3 linked regions of the Arabidopsis thaliana genome follow. The main gene of each other region encodes a partner of the protein of the gene in region 2 in a complex. Each region holds a gene or a part of one and is shown on either strand. Other genes may lie near its edges. The genes, in order: NYE1, ACD2 and HCAR.

The links.
Region 1: ACD2 (region 2) and NYE1 share a complex: the UniProt entries of both Arabidopsis thaliana proteins name them as parts of the SGR1-CCE-LHCII complex.
Region 3: ACD2 (region 2) and HCAR share a complex: the UniProt entries of both Arabidopsis thaliana proteins name them as parts of the SGR1-CCE-LHCII complex.

What each region holds. Positions count from the first base shown.
Region 1 is NC_003075.7:12,016,116-12,026,732, forward strand, and holds NYE1 (non-yellowing 1), read right to left. Parts: upstream 2,529-10,617; 5' UTR 2,492-2,528; intron 2,420-2,491; 5' UTR 1,855-2,419; coding exon 1,714-1,854; intron 1,597-1,713; coding exon 1,423-1,596; intron 1,229-1,422; coding exon 1,061-1,228; intron 985-1,060; coding exon 661-984; 3' UTR 348-660; downstream 1-347. Other genes in the region: PYR4 (pyrimidin 4), read left to right, coding at 3,200-3,229, 3,358-3,506, 3,699-3,880, 3,996-4,132, 4,202-4,367, 4,449-4,565, 4,652-4,812, 4,894-5,085; AT4G22940 (Protein kinase superfamily protein), read right to left, coding at 5,261-5,602, 5,684-5,866, 5,949-6,176, 6,260-6,577, 6,666-6,953, 7,029-7,352; AGL19 (AGAMOUS-like 19), read right to left, coding at 7,831-7,983, 8,081-8,122, 8,247-8,288, 8,889-8,988, 9,076-9,137, 9,253-9,331. UniProt on the Arabidopsis thaliana protein: Magnesium chelatase involved in chlorophyll a degradation in the chlorophyll-protein complexes of photosystem I (PSI) and photosystem II (PSII). Contributes to the degradation of PSI and PSII in the thylakoid membranes.
Region 2 is NC_003075.7:17,438,260-17,448,876, forward strand, and holds ACD2 (accelerated cell death 2 (ACD2)), read left to right. Parts: upstream 1-4,352; 5' UTR 4,353-4,367; coding exon 4,368-4,709; intron 4,710-4,885; coding exon 4,886-5,503; 3' UTR 5,504-6,036; downstream 6,037-10,617. Other genes in the region: HSF4 (heat shock factor 4), read left to right, coding at 2,401-2,619, 2,812-3,447; CEN2 (centrin 2), read left to right, coding at 6,056-6,058, 6,153-6,282, 6,360-6,396, 6,485-6,512, 6,619-6,771, 6,877-6,979, 7,060-7,121; AT4G37020 (initiation factor 4A-like protein), read left to right, coding at 7,519-7,571, 7,654-7,702, 7,792-7,929, 8,209-8,451, 8,546-8,585, 8,666-8,919; AT4G37022 (uncharacterized protein), read left to right, coding at 9,454-9,540, 9,605-9,641, 9,733-9,824, 9,902-9,985. UniProt on the Arabidopsis thaliana protein: Catalyzes the key reaction of chlorophyll catabolism, porphyrin macrocycle cleavage of pheophorbide a (pheide a) to a primary fluorescent catabolite (pFCC).
Region 3 is NC_003070.9:1,280,621-1,291,237, forward strand, and holds HCAR (coenzyme F420 hydrogenase family / dehydrogenase, beta subunit family), read right to left. Parts: upstream 6,000-10,617; 5' UTR 5,873-5,999; coding exon 5,791-5,872; intron 5,382-5,790; coding exon 5,276-5,381; intron 5,184-5,275; coding exon 5,099-5,183; intron 5,008-5,098; coding exon 4,896-5,007; intron 4,750-4,895; coding exon 4,665-4,749; intron 4,561-4,664; coding exon 4,519-4,560; intron 4,385-4,518; coding exon 4,306-4,384; intron 4,222-4,305; coding exon 4,170-4,221; intron 4,071-4,169; coding exon 4,008-4,070; intron 3,834-4,007; coding exon 3,736-3,833; intron 3,659-3,735; coding exon 3,623-3,658; intron 3,543-3,622; coding exon 3,481-3,542; intron 3,377-3,480; coding exon 3,349-3,376; intron 3,254-3,348; coding exon 3,174-3,253; intron 3,089-3,173; coding exon 3,019-3,088; intron 2,921-3,018; coding exon 2,863-2,920; intron 2,703-2,862; coding exon 2,638-2,702; intron 2,543-2,637; coding exon 2,448-2,542; intron 2,340-2,447; coding exon 2,249-2,339; 3' UTR 1,543-2,248; and 1 more. Other genes in the region: YUC3 (YUCCA 3), read left to right, coding at 1-151, 484-711; AT1G04625 (Polynucleotidyl transferase, ribonuclease H-like superfamily protein), read right to left, coding at 7,211-7,300, 7,612-8,168, 9,074-9,200; MEE4 (GRIM-19 protein), read right to left, coding at 9,301-9,445, 9,532-9,603, 10,152-10,366. UniProt on the Arabidopsis thaliana protein: Probable iron-sulfur flavoprotein that converts 7-hydroxymethyl chlorophyll a to chlorophyll a using ferredoxin as a reducing equivalent. Catalyzes the reduction of a hydroxymethyl group to a methyl group. Belongs to the chlorophyll catabolic enzymes (CCEs).

The sequences.
Region 1 (10,617 bases), 5.4 Mb from region 2:
TGAAAAAGATATTGAAGAAAGAGACCAAATAAATCCAAGAAAATAATTTGGAATCATTAGGAGCAAGAAGTGGCTGATACGCTTTGCAAAACCACCAGAGAGACAAAGTCTTTTGCCATCTCTTTACCTTCACGTTTCTCCTTAGTTTCTCACCGTTACACCGACGAATTCGGTCCTTAATATACGTCTATTGTTACTTTGGTGATGATTCTCATGAATATCTTCATATTTCTAAACTATTCTTATTTGGGATATTAGTATAACTTTAAATTGGTGATGATTCTCATGAATGTTTTGATATATTAAAATATATATGTTCATTAAACAACAATTTATTCATCTTTATGTTTGCATTGCAGTAGTACTATACCAGTCTGTCACCTTTAATATTAGCTAATCTGTAAGAAATTTACATTTTGATCTTGTGGATGAGATACAATACAAGTATACAACTATGATAAAGACTTCAGAGTAGACACAAAATACCATTTGAAACTTTAAAATCTGTATTTAACCTACAAATAATCATTATTTTCCTATACCACATTATGTACACCAAACCAAACCAATATTTAGATCCACCAAAAGGAAAGTCCTGCCATTTCCTTTTCACTTTGTACAAACTACCAAAAGAAAAACTTGTAATTTGATATTTAGTCACTAGAGTTTCTCCGGATTTGGAGTAGCAATTCCCTCAGTCTGAGTCCCAGAGTAACCATTTACACCTTCATTACTAAGACTATGAGACCATGGAATCGAGCTAACGGTTGGAAAACAACAACTACACTCGTCCGCACACCGAGCCTCGGGAAGAGTCTCAGTCTTGTGACCATCAGGCGAAACAGCTTCCCAAAGCGGACCCCAACACTCGACTTTGTTGAACTCATTGACATTAGAATGGAAATAGACCCAAACAAGAGCTTCTTGTAGCTCAGGATAGTTGTTCAACAAGTTCCCATCTCCATGCACAAAAGCCTTCAACACCTGTATATATCAAAACAATAAACATTTTGTTTTACATGAAACCAATAAAAAGTTTCTTATGAATTTGGGAACTTACCACAGGTAGTTCTTTGCAAAAGATGAAATATCGAAACTTTGCAAAGAGATCTAAAAGGAAATGGCCACCGCTTATGTGACAATGAACGTGAAGCGACATTTTCCCTTTCACTTTCTTCCATTCTGCCACAACTTCATCCCGGTATAGCCTATTTGCCCATCCTTGCAACTATAAAAAACATTTCTATACATATCAGCCTCTAAAGTGTTAAGAGATTCTGGTGAATATAGACACATACATAGGTTAAAACAATCATACATAAGCCTCTAATATTTGCTCCAAATAATCAAATACATAAACATTCTACTCCTATAAACAGAGCCATGTAGATATGTTAAGACCAGAGAGAGAGGTGTTTTTACCTGAGAGTTGTTTATGGATTGAGAAATAGCTAAGGTTAGTTTAGCTGTAATGTCACTGTGAGTGAGTGTGTAAGTCCTAGGGAGCGTTGAAGGATGCTTCTTCTCATCAACCCCTAAGAAGAGTACTTTCAATTTGGATGATTCGAAAATCGCCGGTCCAAACAACCTTGCAACCTGCACCGATCCCAAAAGTTTCAAGTTCCATCAATAAAGACAGAGGCATAGATATATCCATAACTGAGACACATAAAACAAAGATATGTCAAAATGATTAAGAGAACAAATCCTTACGGGAACAATCGATTGGTTCTTCTTCTTGGATCTTCTATTGTTGAAGAAGAGTGAGCTGCTGCTGCTACTGTTACTCCGTTTGTCTGAATAAGCTGGTTTCAGCTTCGTTGGTAACAACATAATCGCCGACAAACTACACATCTCTGCTCTCTTGAAACCCAAATCAAAAGCTTCAATATTTCAGAAATAACAACAGAACAAAACGCCACTAAATACAGAGAGACTCCTTTCACGAAGCTTGGATACAATTTTTTCACGCGAGTTCTTGCGTGTTCGTACACTGAAACCACAATCAAAAAGATTGTAACTTTAAGAAATAAATATATAAAAGACCCAAAATTTGAGCTTTTCCTTTGCTTGATGATTGCTTGAAGCTTTGGTTTTGAATTTTCCTTTTGAGATCTTCCAGGAATTTAGGGTTCTTTGTGATGCGTATTGAGTTGGTTCTTGTGTTTAAAAGGGATTGTTGCTTCACGTTTCACACTTCCGTGCCCAAATCTGAACACTCTTTTGGAATTTTTCTGAACACGAGAGAGTGCCACGTGTTCTCTAATCTTTGCATGAGCTTCCCCATGTGTCGTCATGGTGGGGCTAACAACTGGCTCTAACCGTCTTTTTGGATAACTTTAGCCATCTCGTTGCGACAAAGAGACACAGATTCGGCTCTAACCGAACCTAACTCACGTACTGTAGTTGTCAGTCGAACCTAAAGCAATACGGTTTAGTTTCGGTTCAATTTAATGTCATTCGACTCGATTACTCGGTTTAGTTATTAGACCTGTGAAACTCGAGAGGCTTCTTCGCTTGAATCGTCGTGAACAAGGACAACAAACGCAGGTATTGATGGAACCGGAGGAGTCAGAGAGTCCCATGTTGATCCATAAGGATGTTAAAAAGGGCTGAAATTTGTGATCAGGTCCAGGTCCATTAAAAATATCGGGCTAAAATTGGGCTGGCCTGTTACAGAGCTTTTATTTTTTTCTTCTTCTTTTACGTTAAGCGACGTCGTATCTTGTAAACAACAAAACACGAGTACTGTTTTTTCTTCTTCTTTCTCCTTCAATCTCTTCCTCAAATCACTCTTTTTGGGGTTCGTTTTGTTTGTGTTGTAAGCATCCCTGTTGTGCATTTCGTTTATCCAGGTTCGTATTGCTTACCTAAACAAGTTCAAGTTTTCGATTTTGGTTTCTAGGTGTTTACCAGTTTCGCCATTTTGTGGTTTATTGTTTGGATAATTTGATTTCTTTGGATTTTGCTGATACCCATTTGTGTGTATAGAAATTTGATTAATCTGGATACTAAATTTCGTTTGGAGAAACATTGAACCAAAGGAATGCGAAATCTTTTGATGATGATTGAATAGTTTTAGTGCCTGCTAATACTTTAGAACAGAGTCAATTTTTTAAGGTCATGTTATAGAATCTGAGTCTACTTGTCATTTGCTTTGGAACAGGTGAATTCTTGCAAAGCCTTGAGCAGCTTTCAGATGATAAAGACTTTGGTCTCTCCTTATAGTGTATGTACTCTACCTCCACCACTCTTTGAGTCTTATTCTTGTTTAGTTCAATCCACGTGATCCAGTTTTAATTTTATTTAATTCCTCCTATGCGTCTGTTAAAGTCAACTATTTTATTCTTTATGTAGGGATTTGGATCTCAGAAGTTGAAGTTTGACAGATCTTCTGAGAAAGTGAAGACGAGAGCAGTAAGAATGGAGCTCACAATCACTCAACCTGATGATTGGCATCTTCATCTCCGTGACGGTGATCTTCTTCATGCTGTTGTTCCCCACAGGTCTTATAAACATCCTGCAATCTTTCTTTTCTTTCCTTGCTTTACTTTGTTTTGCAGCCACTTTTTTGTTTGCTATTGGTGTTTCTTGTGGAACCATTGTTTGTTATGTATGAATTCCTCAATCACAATCTTGTGCTGGCGTTGATGCTTGTGCTGTACATGATGGTTAATGGTGTATGTAATTATGTGCAGTGCGAGTAATTTTAAGAGAGCGATTGTGATGCCGAATCTGAAGCCTCCTGTCACCTCCACTGCAGCTGCCATTATTTACCGGAAATTTATCATGAAAGCTTTGCCATCTGAGAGTAGCTTTGATCCACTTATGACACTTTATTTGACTGACAAAACTCTACCTGAAGAGATCAGGCTTGCAAGTAAGTACCTGTGCTTTCTCCATCTTGTTGCAAACTAATCAGATACATTTTCATCTTTCTGATTGAGATTCTACTTGCTAATGTTCAGTTTATGCATATATGATCTTGTTATTAGGGGAAAGTGGTGTGGTTTATGCGGTGAAGCTGTACCCTGCCGGAGCAACAACCAACTCTCAAGATGGTGTCACGGATCTCTTTGGAAAATGCTTACCGGTACTAGAAGAGATGGTCAAACAAAACATGCCTTTGCTGGTAAATAAATCATACACCACATAGACTTGTATTTTTGTCTTTGTCTTGTCTGAGGAATGTTTTGATTAGGTTCATGGGGAGGTCACAGATCCGAGTATCGATGTCTTTGACCGCGAGAAAATCTTCATTGAGACAGTTCTGCAGCCTCTAATCCAACGCCTTCCGCAGCTGAAAGTAGTGATGGAACACATCACAACCATGGATGCTGTGAATTTTGTTGAATCTTGCAAAGAAGGTTTTGTTACTATCTTATTTTCATTTCTTGTCTTTTGGTTTTTGTTAATCTGCATAGCTCATAACATTTTGTTGATTATAGGGTCTGTGGGTGCAACAGTCACACCACAACATCTCCTTCTCAACAGGAACGCCCTTTTCCAAGGTGGATTACAACCTCACAACTACTGTCTTCCCGTTCTCAAAAGAGAAATACATAGTATGTTCTTCACTTTCCTTTTGAACATTAATATTTCATTTTTTCAGCAGCTTTCGGAAGATCATTGCTTTTACTTCATTGTACAGGAGAAGCCATTGTCAAAGCTGTAACTAGTGGAAGCAAGAAGTTCTTCCTCGGCACAGATAGTGCTCCACATGAACGGAGTAGAAAAGAATCATCCTGCGGATGTGCTGGTATTTACAGCGCTCCCATTGCCTTGTCCCTATACGCCAAGGTCTTTGATGAGGTAAACTGTGTAACTTCAAACAGTTTACTTTCCCGGTTTGTGATTCCTTATGTTCATAACTTTAACTTCTTTAACATTCAGGCGGGTGCGCTGGACAAGTTGGAAGCTTTCACCAGTTTCAATGGACCTGATTTCTATGGCCTTCCGAGAAACTCGTCAAAGATCACACTGAAGAAATCTCCTTGGAAGGTTCCAGACGTTTTCAACTTCCCATTCGGAGAGATCGTCCCTATGTTTGCTGGAGAAACCCTTCAATGGCAACCGTTGAAATAATGTGGTGATTTGAAGTTGTCAAATTTTTTCTCCCAAATAAGTGAACTCGTGTACCTTTTGGATTGAATTTTCTTACGGCTGAGTTATGCCCTGCATTTTTTGAGGAATAAAAGCAAGATACTGACCAATAATGTTTATTTTGTGTTTGAATCTGTCTATTTTCTCTATATTGAATCTAAATGACAGTATAATTCTCAATCAGTGTGGGTCTGATTCCTAGTCCTCCCGACGAAGATGTTCCATTCTCGTAAAGGCTAGGCAGAAATGCTGTTGGGTGAAGTGTAGATGGACTCATTGGCCAAGGTATGCGTTCCTCCATATTCACTGATCCGCCTAGATTCGGTTCTTCTGTAGATGGGTCCATGTAAGAGACTTTCGCGTTAGTTTCATCTTCAGTTATCATGTCTGTAGATGTTTGCATTTTCCCAGCAGAATGGTCCGGTAAACTGGAAGTCTTGTCTTCCTCGTAAGACTTTGTAAGTGAACTGTCTCTGCTCTTGGAATTTGAGGACTTTCTCTGCATATGCATAAACTTTTATTTCGGATATTTCTGCCAAAACACTCAAGAAACCAAGAAACCGTAAGAGTAGAGAGATACCTGCATCGGCTTTGTGGGAGACGAATCTGCTAGAATTGGCTGAACAGCTTGAGCTTCGTCTGTTCTTCTTATTTGTGAAGCTTGTTTTCTAGTGTTATCGCGCATCTTGATGTTGATTTCCTTACTTGAAGGGTATTTTGGTAGACAAGATGGATCACAAGCCAATGGCTCAGTTTTGAAGTACTGTTTCACAGTGAAGAGTATAATCAGTTGAAGTCACAAGAACAACATTTTTGTCAGAGGAATACGTAAAGTCCAAACTTACTTTACTCTTGAGAGCACTAGCTGCAGTGCCTCGGAAATCTGGATCTATTGAGAGCAAAGTTTCTAAGAGCGAAATAACTGAAGCTGGAAACTGTTTAAATGTCTCTGCTATATGTGATCCATATGGATAGATGGGTCTCAGTGGAGTTGAAAGCTGTAGCTTTAGTTTTGTCCAATAATCATCTGAAGGCGATCCACACAACTTGAATATCTTGTGCAGTTGGTCTGTCTTAACATGAGAATACAGAGAACAAAAATCTGAAGCTTTGCTTATCTGGTAAGAACAAGAGTGATAGGAATCTAATTGCTTACCTCATTTTTTCCTGGAAGAATAGGCTTTCCGGCATATAATTCACCTATTACGCAGCCTGTGCTCCACAAGTCAACTCCAATACCGTAATGAGAAGCTCCAAGCAAAAGCTCAGGAGGTCGATACCATAGAGTTGCAACATGGGTTGTCAAAGGAACACTGTTATGAGGATCGAAGAACGTAGCTAACCCAAAATCTGCAATCTTGAGGACTCCATCACCGTTGATCAGAAGGTTCGAGCTTTTCATATCCCGATGGAGTACATGATTAGTGTGACAATGATCAAGCCCTCTTAAGAGCTGCCTCATGTAGCATTTAACCTGAACAGAGAAGAAGAAGAAGAAGAGAGTACCTGAGAATTTGACACCAAGTAATGAAGAGAGTGTGAATAGAAGCGATAAAGAATACCTGAGGTTCTGAGAAATGTACACCGAGTAATGAAGAGAGTCCCAAGAGGTCATGTTCCATGTACTCAAAGATCAGGTAAAGGGTAGAGGAATCGTGGTCTACAAGCATTAACCCTTCTAATTTGATGACATTGGGATGATCCAACTTGCGCAGGATTATGATCTCTCTGGCTATACATTTGATGCTTTCTGAGTTGTTGATATCGAACCGGATTCTCTTCAAAGCCACGGTCTTGTTACGAAGAAGATCTCTAGCTTTGAACACCTTACTGAATGTTCCTCCCCCAATCTGTTGCAAATACAGAGAATAAGTCTCTTTATCATATGAGAATCAATAAAGAAAGGAAGAGAAAGAGCGAGAGACTTGTTCTTGCTTCTCAAAGTGAGATTCACGACCAGGGGTCCAACCAACAAGGGCTTCACCAGCTACAGAAATAAGCCACGGTGGCCAACCAGAGGCAGCTAATTCCGATGAGCGAGGATGAACATTAACAACGAGAATACTTTCTTCTCTCTTCAGCTCCTTTGGACCTAATTTATCACTCATCTTCAACAATTCTGTCACCTTTTGGGCTTGATCATTTGCTATTCTTCTTTCTGATGGAAGAGTATGGAAACGAGGACGGTTTTCCGGCAATCCTGTTGGTGCCGCCGGTTTATTCCTCCGATAAGAAATGATACAACCCATATTGACCAAAAGCTTGAAAGCCACGGCACTGAATGTATTACAAAGAGATACATTGTGAATGAATATGATGATGAAATTAGAGAGAGAATATCGAAAGTGCAATACACAAACGCAAACTATACAATAAAAGTGAAAAAGAAATGTCTGAACAGAATTGAATTCGCCGGAAAGCGACAGTACGCAATCCAACTTATTCGTTACAGAGACCCCACTCCTAAAGGCTTATGTCCCTAATCATTTTTATTCTCTCTGTATGTTACGTAACTAAATACTTAAACCGATTCAGTTTAGTTCGGTTTGTTCAAGTCCTAATAGATACAAGTAATGGAACTGTAAGTTACAGGTAAATTTTTAAGTTTAACTCTTTGATTAAGAACATATTAATTATTACATCTCAATTTTTTTGGACGAAAATATATAAAGATAAAAAGTTCTTACATCATATAGTTAAAACATTCTTTTTGAAGAAGTTGTAAGATTAATTTTGAGGAGGGAATTTTTTGGATTGTCTTGTCTCAGGAGGTCCAATGAACAAACCAGTCTCCACTTCCATATTGTCATCTATGTTCACTTCTGATGATGATAACGTTGATTGTGATGATGCTATTGTTGCTGTTCCCATTCCAAGCCACTTTTATTTTCACAATTTCACCGAAAAAACTCTTCTACTCAGCAACATATTAACATATCATAAAAATAATACCTTTTATAAGATGCTAAAACTGTACCTTCTCCTTCAGATCTTTATTTTCCTTAACGAGATTCCTCTCCTAGTAAGATTTTGACAAGGAACAGTTATATGAAGTATTAATAACGAGATACAGGATGACTCTATATATATGTAATTACATTTAGAGAAAGCAAAAAAAAGTTTAAGTATGAATTGTGTTTTACCTCTGCCTTCAACTTCTCAATTTCTTCACGGAGTAATTGGTACTGAAAATAATTGAATATACGAACAATCTATAAGCAAATTTCCACATTATTAATAGATTATGAAGACATTTGCATGTATATTCCAAGGAATCTTTCAACTAAGTATCCTAACACTAAGTGCGTTGTTGATACTCATTGTTTCAATGTTATATTGAGGAATCATCAATAAAATTACTCAATGTTGCATGGCCTCAATGAGGCTGATGATATGATTAGTGAGGCCATGCAAACCATTCACAATTTCACATAGACATTAAATAAAGAACGCATGCATGCATGATTAGCGAGACCATGCAAACCATTCAATTGTTAACGGTATTGCATATATAATAATAACTAAAAATGATGAATTTTTTTTTGCTAAATGAATTGAATCTAGGTTTTAACTATATCTTTTAATTACTTGTGTAGATCACTAGATTAGTATGGTAAAATTATTTTTGTAAACGCAAAGAGCCAAACACATGTATAATAACTTCCATCATATTAAGTAAACATAAAATTTTCTCATCAAATCTTAATATTCTAAAATTGCGGAAAAACGATTATAGTATCTTAATCCTAATTTCCATTATCACTGGAAATGAGTATAAATAATACCTTCTTGGCTCTTATCCTGCTCAAGCTTCGGTCCAACTGATTCTCTAACTGTTGCAGCTCCTCGATGGAACATGCATCAATGCCTTCTCCAAGCAATTTTCTGCAATTATTCAACAATCAAAGTATCTTATAGTTCGTTTATAATTTTATATAAACGTTTCTCATAAGAAATTTTGAGTTTCAAAACCGTTTAGATATCTCTAGCTGTTCAATCTTTTTTGTCAATCCAGATGTTTCGTCTCTCGCTTGCTGTCAAGTAAAAGTAGTATAGTCGGTTAAATATTTGGAACACACAAAAAAAATATTTATAAAAAATATCGTACGTTTACAATATGTAAAACCCGAAATATGAATGAGAATTTACCTGAGAATTATCATTTCTCTTATGATTATTCCCAATTTCTTTTATTCGTCTCTGATAGCGTTCAATTGTTGCTGCTATACTGAAATGAATCAAATGAAAATAAAAGAAACGAAAATGTGGAGTCAAAACCAATTGAAGCTATATATGCATATATGTGTGAAAAGTATATACTTATGTGACTAAATAAATAAATTCCATTTATTTATTGACATTTAGAATATATATCATCATGATTTATGACCGTTAAATATTGAAACTGAACTGTGAACGAAGAGAATCACAGAGAATCATGCAGATATGGCTTAGTTGCATTGTTCCCAAAAGTTAGGATATGATCTCATGTTTCGAGGACCATATATAATATATACATGTTTATTTTCTAAACAAAATAATAGGTTATATGAAAACAAAAGAGTGTTCCTCTTTACTTCAAAATGCAGAAAATATCAAATATATTGTATTTAAGATTTATGATTCAAATCATGCATCAATATTTTACATGGCTACGCCAATATACATATAAAGAGACAAGTATATATAGATGCACATGGACACGCTCAAATCGAAATATTGAAATTAATAAGCTAAACCTTTAGAGTATCATTAAGCAGTGCGATAACAACAAGGATTATGTGGTTAAGAATACCTAGTTAATTGTGATTAACCTCTCTTGAGTTTGCTCAAAAGACATTTCATAGTTAATTGTTAAGTGCTTAATCCTTTATAATCAAATCTATATTTATTCAGCATAAATTATATCCCAAAGAATAAAATAAGAGAAAACGTAGAAAGAATTAAAATAATTCTGATCTACACACATGCGATGACTTCTCTACAGTTAATGCTCAATTAAATCACGGTGTGTGTTAAAATTAAGCAAAATAGTACCTCTTAATTTGTTGCTAAATTTTACATATTCATGCATACATATAAAGTTTCCCATATATATACATCCACATACACATATACAAAAGAAGCATCTGTAATTTTGTAAACTCGCATGAATGAGAATGTGTTATATCATGAACTCATCATGTCTGATTTAAACATGTGCAAATATATTTATTGATATGTATAATGCAAACCATGATCAAAACTAGCATTATTTACTACAATGCTTCGTCTCATCCCTAGCATTATGTAGATATATCTGTCATCATCATATATGATATATTTCTACTGACACACACACTGTATATGCATTTGTATTACAGCAGGGCGAGATACATGTGGACATATATATCCAAATAAGGAAATTTATTGTTAATCCTGAAAATGACTATTTTCTAAATTTATAAACATGTTGATAGTATGTACAGTCCTAATTTGAACAATATAAGGACACTTTATATACTCAAAATTAAG
Region 2 (10,617 bases):
TCAAGTTCCATCAAAAAGATTCGTGGAAAATAATAGACTTACGTTTCAAATCCATGTTTCTTTCTTTATAACAAAAAAAATGGATGTTTCTTGACGCGTGTCGAGAGTACTCACCATTACTCTGACTTCAGTGAGTTTGGTCAAGTGGTCTTTTTTTTTCTCATGTCACCAAAGGTCCAAACCCTAGAAATTAGTTCGAACTTTCCATAGAAGAACTGAATAAATGGTCCAAAATTGTTTTAAAAAGGACCTAAGCCATTAGTTCATTGAATTCGAGTTAATGGGTGAAGATTTTTATGATAACGAAAGTCGGAGTAATTATGCTTTTGGTCCGATAGTTTTCTAATTTGTTTTCTTTCCATTTTTTTTTTTTCAAATACTACATACTATATAAGATAGTGGTTTGTGTTAATGTCATCGATGTGTTACCATCCGCATTATATTAATTATTTATCCCAACATAAAGTCAGAATCTGTAATTTCTTTGTTATAAAATACAGTAAATGGTTCCGTTTAAGCTGTTAGATGATTTTTGAGTAAAAACTAATGTAAAAAAAACAAAAAAAAAACAATGTAGTTCATAATACATGCATGTTTTAAAGAAGTTTCTTGTTTACTATCAACTTGAATAGTATTTCACGAAGTCAAAATTGTTCATTCCGACTTTTCTATGTGGAGAAAAAAAATTCTATCATTGTGCACAATTTAACAGAATGTAATTTCTTGTAAAAGAAGAGGAAACAATTCGCTGTTAGTAAATGTGAAGTATAGAAGTCTAAAATGAGATACCTCAACTAGCTTGAATTAAGAAAAAAAACAAAAACTCTATCGACATGAAAAAGGTCGCAAATATTTATCATTTATCAATGCCAAAGGAGTATTTGGTTCACAAAATACTGAATCATTTATATAGATATATAATTAGCTCTAAATTCTACTATAACTTGCAAAATAAGTATACTGACTCAATTATATAGCGTTTAAAAATAGACGATTTGTATGATGAGGTCCATATATATGGAGATGTGCATGCAACTATCGACATTTTCACACGTTGATATCGTCTTTCTCCAATGGAGACTTGAATTTGTGTAAACTATGAATACTCGTCTCTCTAAGACCTTTTTTCTTCAACCATGCCAACTATTTAGGTAAGATTTTACTGTCTTTGATTGATATTAAATACTTAGCCGTGGCGTTATCAATGAATGATAATAAAAATGCGGATAAAAGCCAAAGGTGTTGGAAATAAATCCAAGAATGAAGACGTAGATGTCGATGGGTATTTTAAGAACTTGAATTTGTCACGACTCACACGTTAAAATATATTATCCGAATTGTTTAGTCTAAAGACACACATATATTGAAAAAGAAAAGGTAAATGAAGCTCATTGGTGCCTAAATGTGAAATGAAGCCGAAATGTGTTAGGTGAACACATTTAAATATACAAAAAGAAATATAATAGAAACAAAACTAATTAACAAAGTCGCAATTTGTATTGTATAAAATATCTTTCCGTCTCCCGTCATATTTGAAAAAAAAAAAATTACAAATCTGTTAATTTTAAAACTTTCTAGAAAAACACAAGTATATAATTTTCTCTTTTCGTGCGTGTTTGTTTTAAAATAACATTGTTTTGATTGGCGACTCAACATATTTTAGCATTTACATATTTCTGCATATATTAAATGATTTATAAACTCAACTATAGATTAAAATATAATTTGACATCTAATAATTTTAACAATAATATAAAATATGAGATTTATAAATTACGAATATAAATATTCAAGGGAGAGAAAAAGTAGAACATAATTCAAAAGATAAGACTTTTTAGACTTTTTTAACAATATTTTTGATGGATAAAAATTATTCAAAAGAGAAGAAAGTAAGAAGAAAAGATGTTTCTGAGAATTTCTAGAAACAGCATCCGTTTTTATAATTTAATTTTCTTACAAAGGTAGGACCAACATTTGTGATCTATAAATCTTCCTACTACGTTATATAGAGACCCTTCGACATAACACTTAACTCGTTTATATATTTGTTTTACTTGTTTTGCACATACACACAAAAATAAAAAAGACTTTATATTTATTTACTTTTTAATCACACGGATTAGCTCCGGCGAAGTATGGTCGTCGTCTTCATCTTCTTCCTCCATCATCAGATTTTTCCTTAAATGGAAGAAACCAAACGAAACTCCGATCTTCTCCGTTCTCGTGTTTTCCTCTCTGGCTTTTATTGCTGGGATTGGGAATTTCTCACCGCTCTCTTGCTTTTTAGTTGCTGATTCTTTTTCCTTCGACTTTCTATTTCCAATCTTTCTTCTTCTCTTTGTGTATTAGATTATTTTTAGTTTTATTTTTCTGTGGTAAAATAAAAAAAGTTCGCCGGAGATGACGGCTGTGACGGCGGCGCAAAGATCAGTTCCGGCGCCGTTTTTAAGCAAAACGTATCAGCTAGTTGATGATCATAGCACAGACGACGTCGTTTCATGGAACGAAGAAGGAACAGCTTTTGTCGTGTGGAAAACAGCAGAGTTTGCTAAAGATCTTCTTCCTCAATACTTCAAGCATAATAATTTCTCAAGCTTCATTCGTCAGCTCAACACTTACGTGAGTTTCACTCTAACGAAAACTCATTTACTCTCAATTTAATGCTTCATTTAATTCGTTTGGTGAATTGAATCATTCTTTTGTAGTTGGTTAGCCAATTTCGTAATTTTCTCATAATTTGGGGGTTGGTGAGAAAACCTTCTAGAAGCTGAGAATGTTCTTGTTCTTTTTTTTTTTTTTTTTTTGGTTTAGGGATTTCGTAAAACTGTACCGGATAAATGGGAATTTGCAAACGATTATTTCCGGAGAGGCGGGGAGGATCTGTTGACGGACATACGACGGCGTAAATCGGTGATTGCTTCAACGGCGGGGAAATGTGTTGTTGTTGGTTCGCCTTCTGAGTCTAATTCTGGTGGTGGTGATGATCACGGTTCAAGCTCCACGTCATCACCCGGTTCGTCGAAGAATCCTGGTTCGGTGGAGAACATGGTTGCTGATTTATCAGGAGAGAACGAGAAGCTTAAACGTGAAAACAATAACTTGAGCTCGGAGCTCGCGGCGGCGAAGAAGCAGCGCGATGAGCTAGTGACGTTCTTGACGGGTCATCTGAAAGTAAGACCGGAACAAATCGATAAAATGATCAAAGGAGGGAAATTTAAACCGGTGGAGTCTGACGAAGAGAGTGAGTGCGAAGGTTGCGACGGCGGCGGAGGAGCAGAGGAGGGGGTAGGTGAAGGATTGAAATTGTTTGGGGTGTGGTTGAAAGGAGAGAGAAAAAAGAGGGACCGGGATGAAAAGAATTATGTGGTGAGTGGGTCCCGTATGACGGAAATAAAGAACGTGGACTTTCACGCGCCGTTGTGGAAAAGCAGCAAAGTCTGCAACTAAAAAAAGAGTAGAAGACTGTTCAAACCAGCGTGTGACACGTCATCGACGACGACGAAAAAAATGATTTAAAAAACTATTTTTTTCCGTAAGGAAGAAAAGTTATTTTTATGTTTTAAAAAGGTGAAGAAGGTCCAGAAGGATCAACGCAAATATATAAATGGATTTTCATGTATTATATAATTTAATTAGTGTATTAAGAAAATAAAACAGATGTTGAAGTTTTATTGTTGCTTAATTTATGTCTTCATAATGTAAAAAAGCATGTGAAATACTTGGTCTAAGGTCATCTACTTAGTTGAAAACTTGTGAAAGAGGAAGAAATTTTACTTTTATGTTTGATTGATTTTCTTTGCAAGTAGTAGTAGGTGGTTTCCGTGTTTTTACGTAATCCGTTGAATATTTTTCCCTCGAAATTGTCTTTATAAAAGTCACAGAAACATTTTCTAGAACTCTTTATCAGGAAAATAAAAATAAAGATGTCTTCAAGGAATCGAAAAAATACAGCAATATACTAAATAGAAAATGCTATGAAATTAAATAAAAATTTAGTAAGGTTCCAAAGACACTACTTAACTAGAGAGAAAAATAATTCCAACTAGCTCTACAACAAACAAATCATTTACTTGTTTAAGAATCGAAAAATTTAGAAATTTATTCTTATTATTTGTTTGCCCAATTAAGTCGCTCTTGGCCCAATACTTGCATCACTTGATTGAGTAGAAGAAGATCACTTACCAACTCTCAAACCATTTAAAAATTAAAAAGCATAGTTTATTTTATTTAAATATGTGTATGTAATAATTCACCACAAGAAATATATTACAAACCACAAAACTATAATCCCGGTAAAATAGTAATTAATTTCTTCAAAAGTGTAAATAAAAAAGAAGAGACATAATTTAGTCATAGCCACATAAAAAATGGCGATGATATTTTGCAACACTCTCTACTCTTCTTCTTCTCCATCATATCTCTCGCCGTTAACTTCAAAACCGTCGCGATTCTCAAAGAATCTCAGACCTCGAGCTCAATTCCAGTCCATGGAAGACCACGACGATCACCTCCGCCGAAAATTTATGGAGTTCCCGTATGTGTCACCCACGCGGAAGCAGCTCATGGTTGATCTCATGTCGACGGTGGAGAATCGCCTCCAATCACAACTCCTTCCCTGTAACCTCCCTCCAGATGTACGAAACTTCAATAACCCTAACGGTTCCGCCGAAGCATCTCTTCATATCAGATCCGGCGACAAATCTTCTCCGGTACTTGCGACGATTAACTCTGTTTTTCAGTTATGAGATCGAAATTGACTGTTTTGCATGCTTGTTTTAGAGCTCAATTGCTTGATTTTAAGTAGAAACAGACTTCAATTTCGATGTAAATCATAACCCTAAAAAAAAACTTTTTAGAGAATCTTAAAGTTTGTTTTGTTTTGCAGATTGATTTTGTTATAGGAAGTTGGATACATTGCAAGATCCCAACAGGAGTATCTTTGAATATAACAAGCATCTCTGGATTCTTAAACTCATCAACAAAAGCTCCAAACTTTGTGGTCGAACTAATACAGAGCAGTTCCAAGTCGCTTGTGCTAATCCTTGACCTCCCACATCGTAAAGATCTTGTTCTTAACCCGGATTATCTCAAGGAGTATTACCAAGACACTGCTCTTGATTCTCATCGACAATCTCTCCTTAAGCTACCTGAAGTTAACCCTTATGTGTCTCCTTCTCTCTTTGTCCGTTCTGCTTTCTCTCCTACTGCTTCGATGCTTAAGATTGATGCGGAGGAAGAGGATAAGTTGGAGGAGATATTGAGAGATCATGTTAGTCCAGCTGCTAAGGAGGTTCTCGAGGTTTGGTTGGAGCGGTGTGTGAAGGAAGAAGAAGAGAAGATTGTGGTTGGGGAAGAAGAGAGAATGGAGTTGGAGAGAAGAGATAAAAGCTTTAGAAGGAAGAGCATAGAGGACGATTTGGATTTGCAGTTTCCGAGAATGTTTGGTGAAGAAGTTTCCTCCCGTGTTGTACACGCTATTAAAGAAGCTTTCGGTGTTCTCTAGATTATGTAACTATATATATACATCAGTTAATGTTCATTGTACTAAACATTTACTTTCATCAATGTCACAAGAACGCAAGATGACCATCAAACAAGTCCTGTTTTCTCCTAAGAACGTCTTTGTTGTGAATCATCTCTGAATCGGATTCCTTCTGATTCATTTTAATACTATGGGATTGTAAATTTATCAATCAAGTTTCTAATTTATCTGTAAAAAAAAGTCTTGAATTATTGTTTTTCTCATGGATTTTAAAGTTTTTTTTTCACTATTTTACATGGATGTTTTGTTAAATTTCTCGTTCTCTAGATCATGTCATTTTACATTAGCAAAACCAATATAATATATAGATTAATATTAACGAAGGAACATAAACGTGCAAAACTAAAAGTTTTAAAGCTAAATCGCTTTCAAAAGAGTTAGTAACCAGACAAAAAAGAGACAGATCATCGGCAACTAATCTCGTCATCGCATGCATCATAAACCAAATTAACTAAATCATCCATTTAATCCATTTGTTCTTATCAGATCATCCTTTTCCTTCCTACACAAGAAATGGTTAGTGTTTTCTTTTCTCGATTGTCTCTTAGTTTAGATTCTTTATCCGACTACTTTGTTCATCGGTTTTGTTTTTCTTTTTGTCTTCCGGAAGGCGAATTACATGTCGGAAGCAGCACAGCTCAGAAGAGGTCTAAAGCCTAAAGGGAAGACTTATGGGTTGACCAATCAGAAGAGACGAGAGATCAGAGAGATCTTTGATCTTTTCGACATAGACGGTTCAGGTAAACTATTAAACCGATTCTTTATCCGATTTACAAAGTTATTGCTCACATGATTTAGTGCATCATTTCATATGTAGGTAGCATCGATGCTAGCGAGCTCAACGTTGCTATGAGGTCAACGGCAATTTTTCTTTCTTTTTCAAAGTTATTTTCTTCAAGTTCTAGTTAAGTATAGTACTAAAAAATTATCAGCTGATTACAGGTCTCTTGGATTTGAGATGAATAATCAGGTTTGTTTGTTTTCCTTCCTTTTTTCTTCTTTGTTTTAATTTCATGGTTTAGATCATTGTACGTAGAACCAACTTGTATTTAGTTTGGTCATGTTCATTGTTGCAGCAAATAAACGAATTGATGGCAGAAGTAGATAAAAACCAAAGTGGAGCCATAGATTTCGACGAATTTGTGCATATGATGACAACCAAATTCGGAGAACGAGACTCCATAGACGAATTGTCTAAGGCGTTTAAGATCATTGACCACGACAATAATGTGAATAAATCTAAACCTGTCATTATTTCATTCTTTTTAATATTATCTTTTTTTGTTTGGATTGATTTCATTGTGTTTGACTGGACAACTTTTGGAATGTTTTAGGGGAAGATTTCACCTCGTGATATAAAGATGATTGCTAAAGAATTGGGAGAAAATTTCACAGATAATGATATAGAAGAAATGATCGAAGAAGCAGACCGTGACAGTAAGCAAAAACACATAATAATTTTGCGTTTTATCTATAATCGGTCCCTCAAGTTCATGTTTTTGCCTTAACCTACGCAGAAGATGGAGAAGTTAACTTGGAGGAGTTCATGAAGATGATGAAGAGAACCTCTTACGGCTAAGTATAAATCAATTAGTAATGGTTGTGAATAATATTTGTTAATCACCTTGATTTATAATAATAAAGAAGTTTGATTTGTGGCTTGGTCGAATAAAAATGTATTGTTGTATAAAAATAATAATGTAATTCACATCCATTATTTTGAATATGTAAATGTCCTTGAACGAACATTTGTTTTATCATTTTTTATGTATAAATGTCTTTGACCAAAAAATAAATTATGTAAAATATGAACCAGAAACGATGTTGTTTAGATCTGATACTTACATATAACCAAACGACGACGTTGCTAGAGTAATAAATCTCAAAAGACTGGAAACGACTGCGTATAAGTCCGTGACCTGGTTACCGGAGCGTAACTTCTCCGGCGAATTGGACAATTTTGAGAAAGACGGATTATGGACTCCATGGAAGCTCCATCTCTACCATTTCAATCTCCCTCTCGTTCCAGGTTTTAATTTTGAGTTTATAAGGATTATCTCATACCTTCTAACAAAAACCCTAAAAACCCAATTTGTTTTTTTGGTTTGCAGTCAACAATTGCATTTCTACCTCGCCGTGGATCGTCCCCAATTCAAAATGGTAAGTAAATTGTATCAATATTCCTTGTAATTTCTCATCAAGACTGAGATTCTGAATCGCAAATTTCGAAACTTTGGATGTGGGCACAGGAGACTGTAGTGGAATTATTAGGCGTTCTAGGTCGTCGTCCATGGCTTCCGATTGTAGTCTGTTGCAGCTCTCGTGACGAACTTGACGCCGTCTGTTCTTCCTTATCCACTCTTCCTTACATTTCCTTAGCCGCTTTGGTATCTCTCTCTCTTCTTCTCTTTAACTTTCATAGCTGAGGCATGTTTCTTCTTAGTCTTCTCTTTGGTATTTGATTTGAAAAGACCCTTCTTGTTGATTCACTTGCTTGGTTCATCATGATTTGAGTTCATTGTCTTTCATTGTTTGATTGATATCATCGGTTTTTTATATCCGTTTGTTATTGTTCTTGTTGTACCACTTTCTTGTTCATCATGGTATTAACTTACATGTTCTTCCCACTAGGTTATGTTTATGTTCAACGTCTTTTGTGTCTACAGTACAGCGATCTAGCAGATAGAGAACGAGCTATGGTTATAGAGAAATTCAGGCAAGCAACAATCAACTGGAACCAGCAACTTAACTCTGTGGTAGAAGAAGGTTTGGAAGAGAGTGAAAACGGAAAAGAAGAAAAGACATCTCATTTGGTAGTTGTGACCGATGTTTGCCTTCCGTTACTCTCATCAGGAGAATCTTCTCTATCCGCACGCGTTCTCATAAACTACGAGCTTCCTACAAAGAAGGTTGGTTGGTATTTTTCTTAATCAATCTGCAATTGTCAAGTCAAAATGTCCAGAACCTTCCTCTTATTCACTACTTGTAATGACCATGTTTCAGGAAACATATACAAGGCGTATAACAACTTGCTTAGCTTCAGGTTCTTTTTTTTTTCTTTCAAAACAAACTCTTTTTGTTCATCAAACAATGTCACTTAACATTTGAGACTTTTCTCTTAAGGTGGAATAGTCATAAACATGGTTGTTGGAGGTGAAGTAACGACTCTCAAAAGCCTCGAAGAAAGCAGTGGCATACTCATCGCTGAGATGCCAATCAATGTATACAGTAGAACCAATCAATCAAAGAAAAAGCAAGAAACATTCTGCTGTTTTTATCTTAGGTTAATGACTTCAAATGTGCTTTCTTATTGCAGATTTCTGAAATCTTATAACAACACATGGATCTCCGATCTGAAGAATTCTAAATGGGGTTAATGGCTCTTAAGCCTTTTGAAGGACTAGAGGAGATGAATGGTGGATTGATAACGCTTTATTTGTTTGATTGTATCCAGATGTCTCTTGACCATTGCGCTCAAATCATCAAAGCCAAACTTATTGTAAAACCAGTTTCTTTTTTTCTTATATTATTAAAGAATGTTGAAACGAAAGAAAGTTTTGTTCTTTCTCTTGTGTATATTATCAACATACATGTACATCAAATTGCAATTTTCTTTTGTAGCTCCCTACTAGTTAACCTATGGTTTAGTACGTAATTACCAAATCATTAAGTGAAAAAGGAAACAACGCATAAGAGTTTTTTTTTAAAAAGTACCGTTACGCTGAACCCTAATCACATGTGGAAAAAGGAAAAAGGAAACAAGAGAAAAAAGGAAATCCCTAACACATCATTAATGTTTATAGAATAGCCTCATCGTTTAAGTATCTTCGATCGATCATCACAAACAAAAACCTAGAGAAACAAGAAATACAGAGAGAGAGAGGGCTATAGATTGAGAAATACGCAATTTCATGCTCTCTGATTTCTCCGATATCGGATTCTCTTCTTCGTTTAGAATCATTACGCTAGCCGATGGATTCGGTTCTGTTCGCTTAGCCGTTACGAAGATTTTGCGAAGACTTGGGTGATAAAAACGGCAATTGACGACGGAGATGGCGATAGAGAGGGAAGATTGATGAGGATTCATCGGAGATTATTGGTGAGTAACCGTTGGTTATCGTTGACTGGTCAAACCTCTTCGTTAGCCGTTACGCTCCAAATTTTTCACACTTTGATTTGTTGATTTGCAGTCGCTCTTCGACAAACCGAACGAGAAACGAACGTGATGGAAGATGATGTTGATGACTCTTCTTCGACCAAGATGAGCCCTTTCTGGAGAATCGTTCCAAAAATTACAGCGATCGAGATGAGTGACGATCCAGAAGTTAAAGAATGATTACGTGTCGCCGGTATTTCAAGCTTCAAAGTCATGATGATGGAGCTTCAATCCGGCGAGGAGCTGCAATCGACGACGGCGGTGGCGATACAGAGAGAGAAGATTGAGGAGTGGCTTATACGTTTCCGGTGGAGGTTTGCGATGCAGAGAGACGTGGTGGCGTTAGATTCATGACATCAACGAAGCCCTTTTGCCTAACAAAGCCCACCTAAAGGAACAAAAATTTCAGCCCATAAAAAAGGTCAATTTCTATCCAATCTTCTTTTTTCTTTTTTTTTTTCAAAAAATTAGCAGCTTTTCGAATATTTATACTTTAAAGTCACAAAAAAAGATTTTGAAATTTTTTGTTTTTTTTTGTTGTTACGGATTTTAAGAAACTTGGATACTAAATTTATATAATGATAGGAAATCTAACCGGATTTTGGATCCAGCATTAGTCGTTAGCGATTCCAAATATTCAACTTGTTTTTTCTATTATTATATAGATTAACATTCAAGTTTTTAATTCGGATTTTTATAAGTCGTTTTTACATTTTGATTTTGTTTATTTTTTGGATTTTAAAAACCGTTTTTGTATTTGTTTTTTTAATATTTTATTTGCTTAGATTTTAAATTTATATAATGATAGAAAATCTAAACGGATTTTGTATCCAGCATTAGTCGTTAGTGATTCCAAACATTCAATTTAGGCCTGGGCAAAAAAACTGCTAACCGATTAACCGAACCGAACCGAAAAACA
Region 3 (10,617 bases), on a different chromosome or scaffold from region 2:
ACCCAAAATCAGATCGGGAAAGATCAAAATCGTCCCCGGAATCATAAAGTTCGGCAAAGGCAAAGTTGAGCTAATAGATGGCCGTGTTCTTGAGATTGATTCCGTTATTCTAGCTACTGGATACAGAAGCAACGTCCCTTCATGGCTTAAGGTAATAAATAAAACATCTTTCATTCATTGTTTCTTCTCAAGGTTTAGCTTAAATTTTAGACATTTAATGATGTCGGAAGACAAAACACACAAAAAAAACCACCCGACCCGGTCCTAGTTTAGTGAAAACCCTACTCAAATTGTGTTTCGAATGTGAGCAATAAATGCAAATGAACCATTAACATTTATATTTTCATCGAAAAGGATACAAAAACGTGGTACTAGTTTTTGGTTAGAAATAGAAATCCGGTAATGACAGTTAGGACTAAGAATTAGGTCAATAAATTCGTATGTGTACTAATTTGGTGTGTTGAATTTTAATTGTATTAACAGGACAACGACTTCTTCTCCGATGATGGGATACCAAAAAACCCGTTTCCAAACGGATGGAAAGGAGAGGCGGGATTGTATGCGGTAGGGTTCACGAGAAAAGGATTGTTTGGTGCGTCGCTTGATGCTATGAGTGTGGCTCATGATATTGCTAATAGGTGGAAAGAAGAGTCTAAGCAACAGAAGAAAACTGCTGCTGCTCGTCATCGTCGTTGTATTTCACATTTCTAATCATCATTATCAAATTTAGGGAAAAAAATATTCAAAAAAAGAAGAAGATAATTAAGCCCTCTCCTCGGAAGAAAATACCCCCAAAAAAAAGAGAATTGTGAAAAGAAAAAAATAATAGGGGGATTTTTCTTTGTTTTTTTAGGAAGATGTGGCTTTTTTATGTATTTTTATTTTAAGAGTGCTTTATTTTGTTGTTGTATTTTTTTTAAATCTTCATTTTAGATTTTGAACTCTTGTAAGAAGTTTTGCTTAATCTAATATGACAAATATATTTTACGGTTTTGTAATTCTTTTCTCAACGATGCATGTTGTGTTATCTCTATGATGATGTTGTTGATCAGGAAAAGAAACAACTAATTTCATGCTGTTTCATTATTGGAAGAATACTCTCACAAGTTAGAGCTGTTATTTAACTGATTAAGGAATTATTAGCCATTTTGTAATCATTATATTTGGCAAATGATTGATTTACACATGATTGTCTTGGACAGTCCATATTAAAGTTGTTTCATGGATTACAACCTCCAGGGAACACAAGTTGAAAATACTGAAACATGCATTTCTGTAGGATATGCAAAATCCATTAGGGATGAACAATGTATCTAATTTGAAACACAGATGGATAATAAATATAACATTATACAACTTTCTCAGAAAAACTTGAGTGAAATCATATATTATATATGATGTTGGATCTAGTTATAAATATATATATACTGAAACAGATACAGATACAGATCCAAAATATGCAATACGTAAATGAATTCTCTAACATTGTTATATGTCAAATTGCAACTCAAAATTAATTCAAGGTACCAAAGTAAGCTTTATTTCACTTAAATATATTATTAGAAAAAACGTTTACATGCTCTGTATTAGGACAATGCCTCTGGTGAGAAAAAATCAACTATGGTGCAAAAGAGCAGAGACATTTATGAGTTTCACTTGAGGTCTGAGAGTCTCTGCAGCAAAGTCATTGAACGAGCAGAGCAGAGACTTGACTAACAAAAAGACAAAAAAAGAAAAAAAGAGAGAGAGTAAAATTTGAAGTTTCCAATGTGTGAAATATGGTGATGAGTAAGTTAGTGAGTGAGTGAGTGAGTGAGCGAGCGAGTGAAGCTTAACCATGGTTCCTTCTTCTTTGTCCAAGCAAAAAAAAGACATTAAAAGCTAATTCCCCCCAACTGTGTAAATGTCTGGTTCCCATCCTCTTAAAACAGTTATTCATGTTCTCATGCAAAACCCTGCAACCTTTTACTCGGACATCACCTTAACCTAAAGATATGGAGGAAGGAACCCACATGGGTTGATTTGGATTCAGCCGCTGATTTAGACTGTTTCTTATTCTCTGTTCTCTGCCAAAAAACACCAAACCGACCCATCTTTTCTTGCCGGTGTCTTACCAAATTCACGAGGGAAATAGTTTTGGATATTACTAACATACTACAAGTTGAGAAACAGTAGGACCAATGTACATTTACTCACTTGTAGGATGAAATATACATTTGGAAACTTACATGAGAAAGGCCTAAAATGTTCATTTCTTGGAGAGCATTTTATCTATTTGGCCGTTTTTGTTGTACATTTCCACTATCTTTTTGGCATATGATGGCATGTGGGTGTTTGCTCTGTAGATGGTAATGCAGCTTTGGTCATTAGAGAACGATCCAATAGTATAGAAATACACAGTTGATCGCAATAAACTTTTATCTCTAGGAGTGTGTTTCAGATCTTACCTTTGCTTTCCCCATTTGCGGTTTACGTACAAATAGTTTCTGATGGTATGGTAGTCCAACGAGTACCGAGCAAATTCTAGACCCTTAGGACCAACCTGAAGCAAGAATGGTTTTGCAAGTTAAGAAACTCTTTGACTTTTTATGCAATGAGCTTGTTTCTCGGTTTGTGTTCATAAGGAAATAATCTTACCAAATTTAGGATGAACGCAATAATGTTTCCAACAAATAGTGGCGCTGGCTGAGCAGGACCTTGACCTAAGAAATTATAGACTAGTTAGAAGACTTTAGCACAATGTTAGTTGCATGCATTTGCTGAGAACTTTCTTTTTGGCATCTAGCTTTGCTTGAAACTGAATGTCTTTAAGCAGAGACGATTCAAGAAACAAAAGAGTTTCGAATACGTTTGAAAACATACCAAACTTAGCAGCATCGTCTGCCTTAACAGTTTCTGTCACAAAAGGTCGCCGATCACCCTGAAACAACAACAAAAGGTGTGTTTGTTCATGTTATTTGTTAAGTGGACTCTTAAAGTCTTAAATATAACAACAAATATAAATGTTAGAAACTTTACGCTGCTGATTGTTGGAGTGATCTCCAAAAGGTTTTCTACCAAGCTGAGCATTTCTTTCCCACGTTCATTTCTGTGGTTTAAGGCATAAACAAAACTAATTTTATCCAACCACGAGAACCTATATGGTCCATGTCAAAATACGTAGAAATATTGACCTCACTGTAATATACTGTGGATGGTCAGTCATGTTCAGACCTGAATACTTCGGAACACCCATGTAACCGATAACCAAATCCTAGATAAACAAGCTCATACATATCAGGAAATGTTTGAAATTGGCAGAATCAAAATTAAGTGAAAAGACATCTTAATTGCTAGAGAAACACTCACCGCTAATGCATTTGTGTAATCAAAGCAGCTGCAGAATAAAAAAGATAGGGTTTGTAATTGTAGACAAGTTTTAAAAATTTCCGACAGGTTATCTATTTCAAGGTATAGAGACAATGCAGAGACTTGTATTACCTGTAACACGATGGAGCTATGACATCTACTAAATCGTTTGCAGGTAGAGAGAAATAGGGAACCTGCTTTAGCCAAAAAAAGTTTTTTAAAAACGGCTTTCAGCTGCAATTGCAGAGCAACACAGTATTTTAAGCGAATTTACCTCTTCAATGTGTCCATCCAAGTGTTTGAGTTGGACCTATAAGAGAAATTGAACAAGATTGGCATCACCAAAGAAAATGCACAGATAAGTGATGGTTTTGTATTAATGCTAACCTTGTAATCTTGCATAAATTCATAATGGAGAACAGTCTCTGGCTCTTTACTAGCTGCTTTCAGAAACTTGTCTAGTCCATCTCGTGTTCCGTTGTCCACTATTAATCAAAGATGTTCTTTTTACTTGTTTAAAAATGTATAAGCATTTCTAGACCTAAGCATACAAGACTCCGAAATAACATATACAACATGGAATGTTCAAAAGTACAACACAAGAACTAGTTGTGAAAGTTCTGGAGAAAAAACAAATCTAGATAGGATGAGGAAAATACCACAATTGGTGCCTAGTACATACAACTTTTCCAGATTCAGATGCTGCTCCACTGATCTCAATGCTGCAGTATAAGAAATCACTCTGCATTACAATACTATGAGAGTCACGATATGGAGAAACTTGAAATATACGTCCACAAAAAAGTATGTTGAGCCCATACCTTGCACTTGGCAACCCACACCGCAAAACAGAAGACGCTTCACTCCGGAAGCCTGTTACAATACAAATTCTAAGTTCATGTGAAATGGATTCAGTGATTGAAAACACAAACAAGAAATAAGGGTTTGGCAAATAACCTCGATTAATTCAAGAGTATTCAGATTAGGAGACAGAGTTGGCTTGACACCTCTTGCAGCCAAAACTTCTTCAGGTGTCCTTAGAATGAAAAGAAATGAAACATCAATACGCTTCTATATCCAGAGTAACAGCAAAATATGGATCCACATCTAAAAAATGGCGACTTGAAGAAGAATGGACTCAAAATAAACCACATTAGGAAGGTGGAAAACCTGGCTAATACTGGTCTTGGAGATAATCTGTCTTCAGGATCACTGTAATATTTCAATAAATCAGTTACATGGATAGATGGAAAAATCTACAGCATGGTCGATAAATGTAAGCCTAGTCCATTTCTGAAATTCAACAGTAGTTTTACCTCTGCACACAAACGACAGCTTCAACCATATTAGATTTCAGCATCTCAATGGCTATGGTTGTGACAATTCCAGTCCACTGAGCTCCTGCAACCGAAAATAGAATGAAAAGTAAACAACAAAGCTAAGCTAAATTCATCTTGAACGAGACACAAAAGTGCCCTAGCTTAGATTGAGCCAGGAAAAGAAGTTAGTAGAAAATGTGGAACAGTGGAAGGGAAGTGTCTATTTACCTTCGACAGGCTTCAACTTACGAGCATAGAGCTGCTCTTGATGCACCCCAAAATATGTATCTTGTAAGGAATCTGCTTTCCTTCCTCTACCATGCACAACAGGTTCCAAGCTCTGCACAAGAACTTAAAATATTAACAAAATAAGAATCTTAGCCCATCAATTAAAAAGAGTATCAAATCTTATCCATTTATATGGACATTACCTCAATCCTTGACATTCCATCTCCAAGAAATGCACATGCCTCCTTCACATGGGCAATGTAGTAGGTGTCGCATAGCCCGCACTGACTGCAAACCCATCAGAACACCAAGGATCTTGATAAGAATGAGACAAAAATAGTGAGGTAAACAAACAAACAAACAAAAAAGAAAGAAAAAACCTGCAATGGTCTTTAGCTGGATAGGTTCCTCCGGGTGGGATAGGTCTGGACTTTTCTCTCCAGTCTTCTCTTAATTTAACCTTCTTTTTTGGCTCTAGATTCATATCTGCAATTAAAGCCATAAGAGAAGGGTTCATGCAGGCTTCAGAGAGAAGATAAAAACACACAAGACAAAGATCGATGCTATACGAAACAAAAATCTGTTCCGAAATTCTGATGCTTTCAAACAGAATTGACATTATGCAGTAATACATACTAAGTTAACACAAGATTTCTATCTTCAAACTCGATAGTGACAGCTGTGGAAGACCAAATCAAGCATTCGACAAACATTACCACTATGTTCGAAAAGAAAACTCCGAATCTTAGATAAAATTTCATCCCTTTAACGAATTTCAGGGATCGGTTACACTGAAATTTTGTATAAGACGGGTCTTTTAAAAAACTGAAGAATCAACGACGTGTGTAAAACAGAGTGCTATAAAGAGAAGACGTGGCAGAAATAAATTGAGCACCTTTGGAACGCGAAGAAGAAGAGTTAACGACGGAGAAGACTGGAGGAAGGAGAGAGAGCCTGGAGGTGACGACAGTAATCATGGTTGCCCAGCCAGAGAAGAAGAGAAGAAGAGAAGAAGAGAAGAGAGTAGAGAGAGAGAAAAGAAGATATTTTTTTGCTTTTGAACTTGGATATCTTTTAGGAACCAAACTTGATAACCAATTCTTAACCGGACTGAATGGTTTTGGTTCGTAAGAGCTCTTTCACGGGCTTTCTCCATTTTTTTATTATTAAAATTTTTAAAAAGTTATAAGAGAGTTTTAATTTTTTTTCATATTCTAATGGTAAGCTCTCTTATAAGAGTTTTCTGAAAAATAAAATAAAATTTAAAATAATTATATTTCATATAACTTAATAACTATTGTAAATCAGAAAATATTAAACATATATTATTTTGAAACATTTTAAGAAAGATATGAAAATAAAAACACGGAATAACGATAAGTTCTGTCGATTGTTGCAAAATTTAAAGATTGAAAATAAGAACAAATTGTTTTAAAGAATAACAAGATTGTCGATTAAATCGGTTTTAATTTAAGGACTAAAGTGATAATTTGTATAAAGTATAAGCTCTGATATGATTATAAGTGACTCTATTGCTATATATCTGAAATTCATCTTCTTGTTTCTGTCTCCTTAACTGAATCCATAATGTGTTTATATAGTTATTCATCATATGTTCACAGAATTCTGTGTTTCTTTCATGTGCTAATTGGTACAATGTTAGTTTAATTTTAAGAGTTAAAAATATTTGTACACAAATTAAAGTTTTCACATAATAGTTTTCAGTCTCATATATTGCAACAAGTCTCTATGCAAGCTAACACAAAGGCAGTCTTCCTATGCAAGCTCTTTAGCACATCATTCAGATTATCTGATCGAACTACATACATGGCCACTAACACATAGTCACATACTAACCATCTCCTAACTTGTATTGGTTAAAACGCTCAATTTATAACACCACAACATCGACAAGAAATCGAGAGTAACAACTAAAACATGCTTCCACGACTCTCTATGATTCTACAAATAAACAACAGAGACTACAATAGCATTACTCTAGTTACAAGCAGAACCTAGACAACATAACAAAAGCCAATTCTTGATTCAGAACAAGGAATGATGACTAACTCAAAATGATTGTCAAAGAAACCCATTTCAATACTCTAAAATTGGAAAGCATCAATATAGCAAATGATCATAAGTGGCTGATACAAGGTCCAAAGCATGGATTACGAGAAGAAAACAAAAAATCCACCTTCTTCTTCTTCTTTTGTCTTTTTAGCCTCTGTTTGTTTCTGTTCCTCTCTTACAAAAAGAACTCACCGATCACGAGAACGTCAAAGCTCGATGATCACCATCCATTTTCACCACCGTCAGAACCGTCGGAACTGTAACTCGGTGATCACACCATCAATGATCTCGCCACCGTTTGTCTCTCTGTTTTCTTGCGTTTCACGATCTCTCTAGCAAATCATGGCGGATCTCACCGAGAGTCCCAAGTATTGACGCAAACCACGCGCCGTTGTCACGAGACTCAGGTATGTTGCTTCTCGCTTAAATTCCTATTTGATCTCTTGGAACCTTGGATTTTTAATATTTAGTTTCTGCACAAAAAAGGTCTCTTTGAATTAGGTCAATCAATATTTAGTTTTCTAACCGCAATTTCATCGGAGGAACTAGGGTTTGATCTTGTAGTTTTTTTTTTTTTCCTCAAACATCAGCTTTATTAATAATTTGCTGTAGCAAAGTCGCGATGTAAAAAATCAGTTATTACAAACGGGATATAGTTATAGCAATAAAACTGAGTGTTCAAAGGAAGTTGTTGTTTTGCCAGAGCATCTGCAGCCATGTTTGAAAATCGCCTTGTCCAAGTAAACTTGCATTCTTCAAATTTTGATCTCCAAGCGCTTATATCTCTTATCCAATTAAAAACTGCAAAATTTGAAGACCGACCATTGACAATCTCTGAGACTTCTTTATTGTCACCTTCAAAGTAAATTTTCCTATAGCCCCTACTCCAACAATGTTGCATGGCCATGACTAAAGCTTGGAGTTCACTTTCCATCGGATTGGTAGTAATAGAGCCTATAGCATGAGCTGCACCTAGAAAGGTTCCTCGATCATCCCGTAAGAGCCAACCCGCTTTACTCGGAGCGTTGCTGTGGTAAGTGCCGTCATAGTTGCATTTCGTCCAACCAATAGGGGGTGTTGTCCAGAGATTAGCTGTTGGTTCTTGTGACGTTACTCTGTCAGGTTTTGATGATAAACGGTGGGTGTACTCTTCTGCATCTTGCCATTCTTTGGCGTCTTGTCTTGCATATCGGAGAGAAGCTTCCCATGGAATGATCTTGTAGTTTAGTTTTACAAAATTGACCTAAAATTGGTGGATAATGTTACGACAGAGCTACACTAGGACTTTGGAATGGGCTTTGCTGTATGAGGCCTTCGTTACACTAGGACTTTCTTCATTCTAACTTTTTTTCTTCTTTTCTTTAAAAATTATTTTAACCAAAACTAAAACTTTCACTAAAACATTTAAATAAATAATTTTTTAAAGGTTTTTTATAAATACTAAATTAATATGACGTTGTGAAATCTAACCGGATTTTTGATCCCGCCATTTAACCGTGGTCATTAGCGATTCCATAAATCCAACATATTTTTCACATCTTCATGTATATTTAGCATTTATTTTTTGTTTTCTTTTCTTAAAAGTTTTTCAAATTTTTTTTGATTTTTTTAAAAGTTTTAATAAATACTAAATTAATATAACGTTGTGAAATCTAACCAGATTTTGGATCCCGCCATTTAACCGTGGTCATTAGCGATTCCACAAATCCAACATGTTTTTCACATCTTCATGTATATTTAGCATTTAATTATTTTTATTTTATTTTTTTAAAAATGTTTTCAACTCTCTTTTTTTTTCCTTTTTCTTTTTTTTAAAAGATTTTATAAATACTAAATTAATATGACGTTGTGAAATCTAACCGGATTTTGGATCCCGCCATTTAACCATGGTCATTAACGATTTCACAAATCTAACATATTTTTCTCATTTTCATGTACTATATTTAGCATTTAATTTTATTTATTTTCTGAAAAGGTTTTACTCTTTTTTTCATTTTCAAGAACTCTTGTTTTCAAAATTTTATTGTTTTGGATATTAAATTCACATATAATTATATATGATTTGGTTCGATTTCACTCGGTAAGCTTTTTCGAATATTTTTCACCTGGAGCTGTCAAATAAGCCAATTTCTTGCAGCTTGCTGATGAATCATGAAACTGTTTTTGCCTCATATTACGATTGAAACACTTAAGAGAAAACCAATACAAGAAGAATACTGTCTGTTGAATCATTCTCTTATTACCCGAAGAAAAAAAGATATAACAAGAACATATCAATCCTCAGCGAAACATCATTCATCATCATCATATGCATTTGAGAGAAACTAGGAAATCACCACACATCAGGACGGAGTTCCCCAGTAGCCGGAGGCATCCAGCGACCAGAATTGTACACATTCTCGCCAACTTTCCATCCCGGAACATCTTTCATTACATCAGCCTCATATTCCAGATACTTTTTCCACTCAGACACAAACCTAGAATGCAAAACGGGGATTGAAACAAGATTGCTATCTGAAGGTTGCTGCAGGCACATTGACTTAAATTTGAGAATATGGTTTACCTTTCATCTTCTTCTGCTTGAAGAATGGGAAGTATTGTTCTACGAGCAGCATATTTCTCTTCCTTCAATGCCCTAAACATCACATCAATCTTGATAAGAGCATTAATCTTGATACTTACTGATATCAAATCAGACTTGTTTAGGACCATTGTAAATGCATAAGAAGTTAATGATCAAGCCAGATATAATACTAAAACAATCTATCTACATAGAAACAGTATCCCGATAACTACTATCAAAACATGCAACTAGATAATTGCTTTCATCATAACAGATTCTCACATCTTTGCAATTGTGGCTTTAAGAGTTTACAAATTGTTGACGAACTTTATATTCGTTTAAGGCTAAACTCATGCTGATTAAGCTTCAACCAAAATGTCGGGGAATACTAATAACAGAATACATAACAGTGATTCAACAAGCCTATGTTTCCATAGGTTAATAATATTAACCAATTCCTACGATAAACATACTCAAGTTTCAACAATTATTAACCAAAATGTATCCTTCACTACATTACTATGGTCATCAATCACTCCACAACACTAATTTTACCAAGGCGATCTCGAATTTTAGAGGAAAAATTGAAATGTGAACGAGCTATTACAAGTCGTTCTTACCTGCGGATTTTGTTTCCCTGGCCGACCTGGTACATTCCCCAAGCAAAGGCACCAGAAACGGCAAGGAACATGGCCATTGCACTAGGACCCGTATTGGATATCCGGCGGGCATATCGGACCGGTGCGAACCCACCCGGTGGCGGACCATCCTGAAGCAGCGGCATATCCTTCACACTCGCCATTCCTGGCTTATTTCTTATCATCGCCTCCGTCATCTTCAACGCTCAATTTCTTCTCGACCAAATTGACTTTTGATCACTGAATCCGATTTGATTTTGCTGAAATCGAGTGTTCTAGGGATTCCGATGAACAACGAAGGGAACGTTGGAGATTAACTAGGCTAGGACCATATAACTAAGCCCATTAGTTAGCAAATCACGGAGTCGTATGAGATGAAATGGGCTATAACTAAGCCCATTTCAGATATGTTCAAAGACCCAAGTCCATAAGTAAGCAAGTCACGTGG